Linked DNA regions of Mus musculus: region 2 is reported to be linked to region 1. The links are microRNA targets in miRTarBase. Many come from high-throughput screens and were not tested one by one. Region 1 holds a microRNA gene; the other region holds the end of a gene's coding sequence.
Evidence for each region. The annotated mature microRNA mmu-miR-292a-5p reads ACUCAAACUGGGGGCUCUUUUG and lies in region 1 at 2,808-2,829, opposite strand. An mRNA with a match to its seed (bases 2 to 7 or 8) in the 3' UTR can be bound and repressed. Matches are read on the target gene's strand: a 7mer-m8 pairs with bases 2 to 8, a 7mer-A1 pairs with bases 2 to 7 and ends in A, and an 8mer does both.

Region 2: the mRNA of Cbln3 is a reported target of mmu-miR-292a-5p. Seed matches in the 3' UTR shown: 7mer-A1 at 1,845-1,851, 8mer at 2,743-2,750 and 7mer-A1 at 3,546-3,552.

The regions. Positions count from the first base shown.
Region 1 is chr7:3,217,878-3,222,028 of GRCm38, reverse strand. It overlaps Mir292 (microRNA 292), which reads right to left and starts at 2,840; the gene lies at 2,759-2,840. Nlrp12 (NLR family, pyrin domain containing 12) reads left to right here. Exons shown (of 10, transcript NM_001033431.1): 10 at 1-519. It overlaps Mir290a (microRNA 290a), which reads right to left and starts at 3,403; the gene lies at 3,321-3,403. Mir290b (microRNA 290b) reads left to right here and starts at 3,334; the gene lies at 3,334-3,391. It also overlaps D7Ertd143e, Mir291a, Mir292b, Mir291b, Mir293 and Mir294, and 1 more gene.
Region 2 is chr14:55,879,533-55,883,532 of GRCm38, reverse strand. Cbln3 (cerebellin 3 precursor protein) reads left to right here. Exons shown (of 3, transcript NM_019820.3): 2 at 1-66; 3 at 356-4,000. The coding sequence ends at 553. Among named protein-coding and RNA genes, the nearest start is that of Cbln3, 2.7 kb to the left of the region's middle.

The DNA of each region.
Region 1 (4,151 bases):
AGGTCCTGAGTTCAATTCCCAGCAACTACATGGTGGCTTGCAATCATCTGTAATGGGATCCAATGCCTTCTTTGGGTGAATCTGAAGATAGCTACAGAACACTTATAAATCTTTAAAAAGAAAAATTGTACTCACACCTGAATTTTATACAGCAGGGGGAAAAAAAAGTGGGCTGGGGCTAAAGGTATAAGGCACCTTACAAATGAGGCCTCAAAACCCAAGATTTGCACACCTGGTATAGTTGACAGCCAATGCTCCCATCCTATCCTGGGTTATTAGATTTTGCCCAGCTGTGGTGGTGTTCGCATTGAATCTCAACACTCCAGAAAACTGAGCAAGGTGGCCAAGGATGCAGAAATCATGGCTGTGCATGACTCACGACCTGACACTAGTGAGGCCTGGCAGACATCATTCCCAGCAACCACGTGGTAGCTCCACCACTTATAATGGGATAACTCCGCCCACTTCCAGTACAGTACCCAGAGATCTACCTTTATTATATTAAATTCAAACGCTATCCAGAAGTCCCCTATATCCTCCCCCACACCCTGCTCCCCAACCCACTACTTTTTAAAACCTGGCACCACCCCATTTCAGGTTAGCTTGTAACCATCCAGACACTCCACTAAAAGGAACTGGCCATGATGTATAGAAATGGAAAAGACTCACAGTATATAAACAAATGTGGGCTTAAATGTGGCTATGCTTAAAGGCACCTTTAAGCTAGTACAGGGTAATTCTTCCTTAAAACCATTGGAGGGGTGGCATGCCTAAATCCCAAGAGGCAAACAGGGGTGTCTCCCAAAAGGTGCCCTATTACTGTTGAAAACACTTCCAGCTATGTGTTGGTTTAACTTTTGGGGATTTTTTCAGACAGGGTTTTTCTGTATAGCCCAGGATTACCTTTAGTCTCAACCCCAGTGATTAAAAGGGTGCTTGCATGCTTGCAAGCTTTTTTTATCCCTAGGAACCATGGCGGGTGTTTTAAAACAAAAACTGAGAAAGCAGCAAAATCAAGAGAACAAGACTTTATTATTCATGTTTGGAGGCTGAGGGCACTGGTTGCTCCCATAGCACCTTGGTTCATTCAATAGCACCCACATGTCCCAGTTCCAGGAAACCTTCATCTGGATTCAGATACACACTACACATGCATGAAAGCAGCCGACCTGTGAATGGTGCCCACAGGAGAGACTCAAAAGTAGTAGCACTTTCTATGTACAGTCCAGAAGTGTGCCCCACATTTGAGTCTCACCAAGATGAGCAAGCAAGGAGTCTCTGGTTGATTGAAGTTCCGATGCTTTCTCCACATGGCAACACACAAAAGGGAAGCACTTTCCACTTAAAAGCTTAGATAGGGCCTCCATTTTGAGTATGGCTATATGGAATTTCGCTAGATCCAAACATGCCTACAACTGAACTGAAGATTAAGGATTATTCAATGCCAAAAGGATAAATGCAGCTATATGTAATACAGTACCTGTCAAATCTGGGTCACTTCCCGTGAGGTTCCGTGCACCTCAGCTTTTACTTTTGCCCCATTACAGACTGAATCATACCCACAGATGACACCCAAATGATGCAACACTTAGGCCAACTGCAGTTTCTCAATCGGCAACACTACAAACTCTGCGGCACTTCTTACAAAGAACAAAATGTCACACAGTTTGAGTACCACAGATTGAAGCATTTCCACAGGGACCTGCTGTGGTAATAAACCTGAAACTTTATAGTCAGTTCTTAGCCAGACCAGCCAGCCAGGCAGGTTGAAGGCAAGTAAGTACCCCAGGCTAGGCAGGATTACATTCAACTCAACTGGAACACCTGAAAAACAAAGAGAATCCATGAAGATTATGCTTAGGGCACACAATGTAACACCTGTAATCCCAGCCCTCATGAGCCTGGGCTATTGTAAAGCCAAAAGGTATTATGGGTATTATCTACCCGGCTGTCCACCAAGCTTGTTTGTGCTAGGAGCCAGGTTAAAGTCAGCTACAGCCAGCAGGTCCTAAAAATTCAATCCAACCATATCAAGACTCACAACCATCAGTCCAACTACAGTAGTCAAGCAAGATATAGCAACTACAGTAGTCAAGCAAGATATATAGGATCTTTTAATCCCAGGTGGATGGAGCTGAGGCCAGGCTGGTCTACAAGTGAGTTAGCTCCAGGACAGCCAGGGCTACAGAGAAACCCTGTTTGGAGAAAAAGGAAAAAAATTGAAAGAGGACTTAATATGGCGGCCACGTGAGATTTAAAAGTAGGCCTTTCTTTACTCAGACCTGAGGCTTAGACTCACCACCCCTGGACCTGGAGTGCCTCCTTCCACCCTGCCCTGCTTCCTCCTCACCTCCAGCCTTGCAGCTCGAGTAGCCAGTGGCAACGAATTCACCTCCAGCACACATACCTGTTTCAAGCAGGTAAGCGATTCCAGGTTGCAGCTGCAGCCGGCTTTTCAGACGCCATGTACACACAGAGACAAACAAAATGGATGCACTTTCCCGCCAAGCCGCGGAGAGGGCCTCCACTTTGATCGACACTGTATGTTCCAACTTCCAAGACCTGAGGCTCAGCTCCTCCGAGCGAGGCCCATGTGGGATCCCGGCTCCTTTATGAACGCGGAAAGCCTTTAGTACCGCATGCGCCCAAGTGTTCGGACTCAAACCCACATGTGACACCCACCTGCCCAGAAATGCAACCCCAGTGAAAACATGACCCACTAAAACTTAATTCTTAGTTCTTAGCCGTTTTGAGTTCTCAACCGGTGACACTCAAAACCTGGCGGCACTTTTCTTCCGATGAAAATCCAAAAGAGCCCCCAGTTTGAGTATCACAGGCTGGAGGTCAAGCTTAAGAACAATCTACAATGCACCTGGACTCACGACTGCCTTACATCCATCCGCGTCTCGTGGCACCCAACTGAACCGCCCTCTTTAGGATAGGACCCATTAAACTCCAAGCCTAAACCCCCACACAGGTTGTCCGCTCCTGTAAACCGATGCGTCAGATGCAAAGCTATGATGTTTTCCCCATGCAGTGGCACACAAAGTGGAAGCACTTTCTCATTCAGGCTCAAGAGAGGGCCTCCACTTTGATGGCCGCTACATAGGTGTAACAGCTCCAAGCAGCGACAGGACGCACATGGAGCCCCCAGGTACCCTACAACGACCACCTCAGTTACCGTCTACTGGGCAGGATGCCCATCCCTAGCCTTTCGCTATACTCAGTCTCATTCCTTTCTTCGAATCCGTACTCACCACGCTGCAGTTAACCCGGAACACGTGGCACCAGGGCTGGTAAATGTGCCAGATAGCCGTTTTCTCAACCGGCGGGGCTTAAAACTAGGCGGCACTTTTTAAAGAAAAAAAAAAGTGCCCCCATAGTTTGAGTACCGCAAGATGAGGCGGTCCAGACGTTAAAACATTTACCAGGAGGAAAGAACGTGGAGAACTTAAAATTCACTCCAACCTGAAGGAAACCTGGATGAAATCAAGGAAGAGTTAGTACATCGGTCTAACTCAAGGTATAGTGAAACTCAAAATTTCTACAATGAAACCACGTAGTTAATGAAATGTACTGCATAGACTCCCTAGACCTGCCCTCAGTAACTCCTAGCTTTGGTTTCTGGTCCCCAAACTTCACTCGCGCCCAGACTACTCACTTTCCCCACATAGGCTCGTTCCTCCCTTGAAATTATGTAGACCAAGTCAGAAAAAAAAGCCCAACTCTTTTTCCACACACATTAGTTCTAAATGTCTTCTTTGGAGACCAGACCAACCTCAGATGGGCCTGCCTCTGCCTCGGGATTAGTAAACCCAGCCAAACCGTGGGGGCGAGCGAGGAAGGCTGAGTTCGCGGCTAGCCTGCCTTTTAAAAAAGGGGCTCTAGTTTTTAAAAAGTAGAATGAAGATGGCCGTGATGACCTTTAATCTGGAGGCAGAGAGGCAGGCAGAAATGAGAGTTAAAGGCCAGCCTGGCTAGTCATCTCCAAAGTTGAAGCAGGAAGATCTCTCTTCTGGAAATCCTGGATCTACTTTCGCCTCTCTAAACCAGGTAGATTAAAACCACAGAACTGAAGGAAATAAAAAATCTGAAACTAAAAATATTACCTTTGCCTATGTGAGAAGCAGCACGCCGGAGGTATCCCTGAA
Region 2 (4,000 bases), not on the chromosome of region 1:
CCTGTCCGTGGAGTCTACAGCTTCCGATTCCACGTGGTCAAGGTGTACAACCGCCAAACTGTCCAGGTGACCTAAGTGCCAGTCCACCTCCGGGGGGAAGGGAGGGTCATAGTGGACCGCAGCACATCCCTGGATAGCCCTTCTGTTGGACCTGTATCCCAGGGACCAGGAGCAAGGGAGGAAAGGCTAGCAGGGTATGGCAGATGTACAGAACCCAACACTGGCCACCCCTCAGTGCTCACTGGAGAGCCCACTGACCCTCAAGTTCCCAAAAGAAAACTCTTGGGAGGATGGGGGGCGGGGTGTCCTGAGCTAAGGACTAGGACATAGATGCTAACTGGGCTCCCCTCCCCAGGTGAGTCTGATGCTGAACACATGGCCGGTCATCTCAGCCTTTGCAAATGACCCTGATGTGACCCGAGAGGCAGCCACAAGCTCTGTGCTGCTTCCCCTGGACCCGGGGGACCGTGTGTCCCTGCGCCTGCGTCGGGGGAATCTTCTGGGTGGCTGGAAGTATTCGAGCTTCTCAGGCTTCCTCATCTTCCCACTCTGAGGACCCAAGCCTTTAAACGGAGATGTCTAGCATCTTTCTGCCCTTCCCTGCCCCAGAAACAAAGTATCTTTGGAGCAAGAGAAAGGCCCCCTCCAGGCTGCCTACGGCCCACCTCCTTGCATGAGATCATAGTTAAACACCCAAGGCTAGGAGCAGAGCAGAGCTACGGAACCTCTAGACAAAACGCCTCACTCAGGTCGCCCTCCCAGTCTCCTGCTGCCCCTCCTGCCCCTCCGCAGCTCCAGTTTAAGGCAGGGTTTGCTAAGAGGGAAGCTTGCACTTCTTCACAGACTCCACTCCTCCTGTTCTCCACCCCAGCTTCCTGCTCAGCGCTATTTGGTGACAGGTGGCGCAGGTAAGCTTGACAGGCTCCCACAGGGGCCCAGATGGACCAGCCTCATAGTACCTGCGGGCTCCATCCTGTGAGGAATGCCAGCAATGAGAGCTCTCGGCCAGCACCCTGTGAACAGGGCTGACAGCTCAACCACAAAAAAGCAGTGTGGGGAAGGCCACAGAGCATCCGTAGCTGGAGAGACAGGATGGGGCCATGTGCCTACCCTGAACATGTAAACATTCTGCAGGTAAACTGGGACAGTCAGAAGGCAGGAATCCTGCCGTCCATCTGTGCCAGGTCCCAATGGACTCTGGCCCTCATTGCCTGACCAGAGGCTTGGGTGTGTGTGTGTGTGTGTTTGCTCTGGCTAATAGGGGAAACTAGAGCAGGTATACAGACCTGGAGGCAGAGTCAAAGGTCACGAATGAGTCATCAGTAACCACATGTCCTCTCCCTCAGCCACCTCCTAGAACTGCCCCACCTTGGAAATCTGAATTTCAGTCACTCCCTACTCTTGATCGACATGTAGTTCCTCCAGCTGTCTCCCAGCTAATTTCCCTGTAGTCTGCTCCCCCCCCCAAACGCATCGTTCTTCCTCTACTTCTACTACTGTCTTACTCTTCTTTTAAGGTCTCCTGTTACCTGGGAGTCCATGACTCATCTCCCCCAACTAGTATCCCACCAACATCAGAAACTCTTTTTACCCAGTTGTCCCAATGGTCCAGCATGAACGGACCTACCTAGAACAACTGGGGAGCTGCGGCTGTTAAAACAGTGACTTGTCCTGTTCGTGAGGGTGTGAAACAGGGACTGCAGGACTACAGCATGCTGAAGAGAAATAAATTCAAAGCTGGGCATAGCAGTCAACGTTTTTAAAGTGCTATAATATAAAGTACTCGTGCTAAATAAATACCAGGGCAAGTTTGTGGTTTTTTGTTTTGGTTTGGTTTTTGGTTTTTTGAGACAGGGTTTCTCTGTATAGCCCTGGCTGTCCTGGAACTCACTTTGTAGACCAAGCTGGCCTCGAACTCAGAAATCCGCCTGCCTCTGCCTCCTGAGTGCTGGGATTAAAGGCGTGTGCCACCACACCCGGCAAGTTTATGGTTTTAAAATAAAAATCTAGGTGTTCATTCAGGAGACAGAGGCAGGTGGATCTCTGTGAGTTTCAGGCAAGCCATAGTAAAACCTGTCCAAAAGAAAGACAGAGAGACAGAGACAGAACAAAGAAAGAAATAAGGATGGAGGTGTCACTCAGAGGCAGACGCTAATACGCATGAAGCACTGGGTTTGAACCCCAGCACTGGGGTAGGCGGGTAGGGAGTAGACAAGAGGGGGAGGGGCAGCACTTTCCTTCAGCATTTGTCCTTACTTTGTGGCCAGGAAGAATAGTTTAAACAAGATAAGATAATATTTCTGTCTCACATGGAAGAGTCTGCAGCTGGGGAGTTCAGGATAAACAGCTGCTTAGAACCACAGAGCCCAGTCTTCCCTTTTGGGATGCCTCTCTGGCATGCCGCCTCATGGCCCAAGATGGCTTCGTGCAGGTCAGCATTACATCCCAGCAGCGCTGGAAAAAGGGAGAGAAGAAAGAACACAGCTCCTTCCTTGAAAGGTTTTCCGACCGCTGACAGCTGCCTACACACATTTCTGATTGCATCTCATCGCCAGAATGGAGTCACACTTGGCCACACCAAGCCAGGACAGGCAAGGAAACAATCTCACAATCTTACCTTTTTGTCATATTTTCCATGTGCATGCACCTGGGACGTGTGTGTGTGTGTGTGTGTGTGAGAGAGAGAGAGAGAGAGAGAGAGAGGGGGGACAACTTTGGGTGTTGGACCCCACCTCCCACTATGTTTGAGACAGGGACTCTAATTTTTCATTGCGTACACCAGGCTAGCTGGAACCTTCTGGAATTCTGCCTTCTCCTTAAAGTACAGGATTACAAATGCATGGACTATGGCTGGCTGGAATATGAACTCAGGCCAACAGGTGTGCACAGCAAGTGTTCTAACCACTGGACCACCTCCAAAGCCCGTAGACTTTATTCCAGGCCATCACATCCAAAATCAGGATCTTATAGTAAGGAAGAAGAGTAATTGGACATTGGAAGTTTTTCAGAATACAATAAACTAGATCAGCCCGTTAACACCGGGAGGTACACGATGCTCTTTATTTATTTATTGCACCTTCTATATGTCAACAGTCTGGAAAAGCGTGACTATTCTCTGATAAAGTTTCACAACGCTGAAAATAAGGTGGCAGGTGGTACCCTTCCTTCCCAGAAGGAAAGAGAGAAGAAGACACTTCCAAATTCATTTAGTGCTCAATCCCTTAGAGCTGTAGTGCTGATATCCTCAGGAGCTTCTGTTTTCCAGCTAAAACACACACAGCACAGCCCCGCCCTCTGACTGGCTCCAGCCTAAACCTGCCACATCTTTCTGATGTCCATAGGAAAAGTTCCTGTAGGTTGAAAATTCGATGCTTAGACTGGACCCACCGAGAATATACAGAGCAATCTTTCTATTTTAAGGTCCCCACCAGCAGTGTATTTGCAAAGTCCCCATGCCATGTAAACGCATATTGAGATATCTTGGTGATTAGAGTATAGACTCTGAGATATCTGCATAGCACAGACTTAAAATCTCAAGATGATGTTTTGAGAAAACACTTGGCACAATTCACCCACTGAGATACTCAAGACAAAGAAGATCAACATAGGCTTTGGTTTTGGTTTGTTTTACTTTTTAGTTTATTTTTATTTTATAGTGTTTTGCCTGTGCACCACATACATGCAGTTCCCTTGGAGGCCAGAGGGGGTGCCTCAGATCCCTTGAGACTGAACTGCAGTGGCAGTGAGCCACCTTATGGATGCTGAGAGTGTAAGCTGGATCCTCTACAAGAGCAGCCAGAGCTCTTATCCATTACTCCATCTCTCCAGCTCGCTCCTCCACTCACACACACTCTGGTTTTAATCATTTTAGAAGGTAAATCAGTTCCTACCCAAACAAGAATTCATTGGTTGATAGTCCAAGACTTCCTTGCCATGAAGAAAATGCCCCTCTTTTCTTTTGACCCAGAAACAGATGTCTTGTCTTTAGGCCACATAGCCG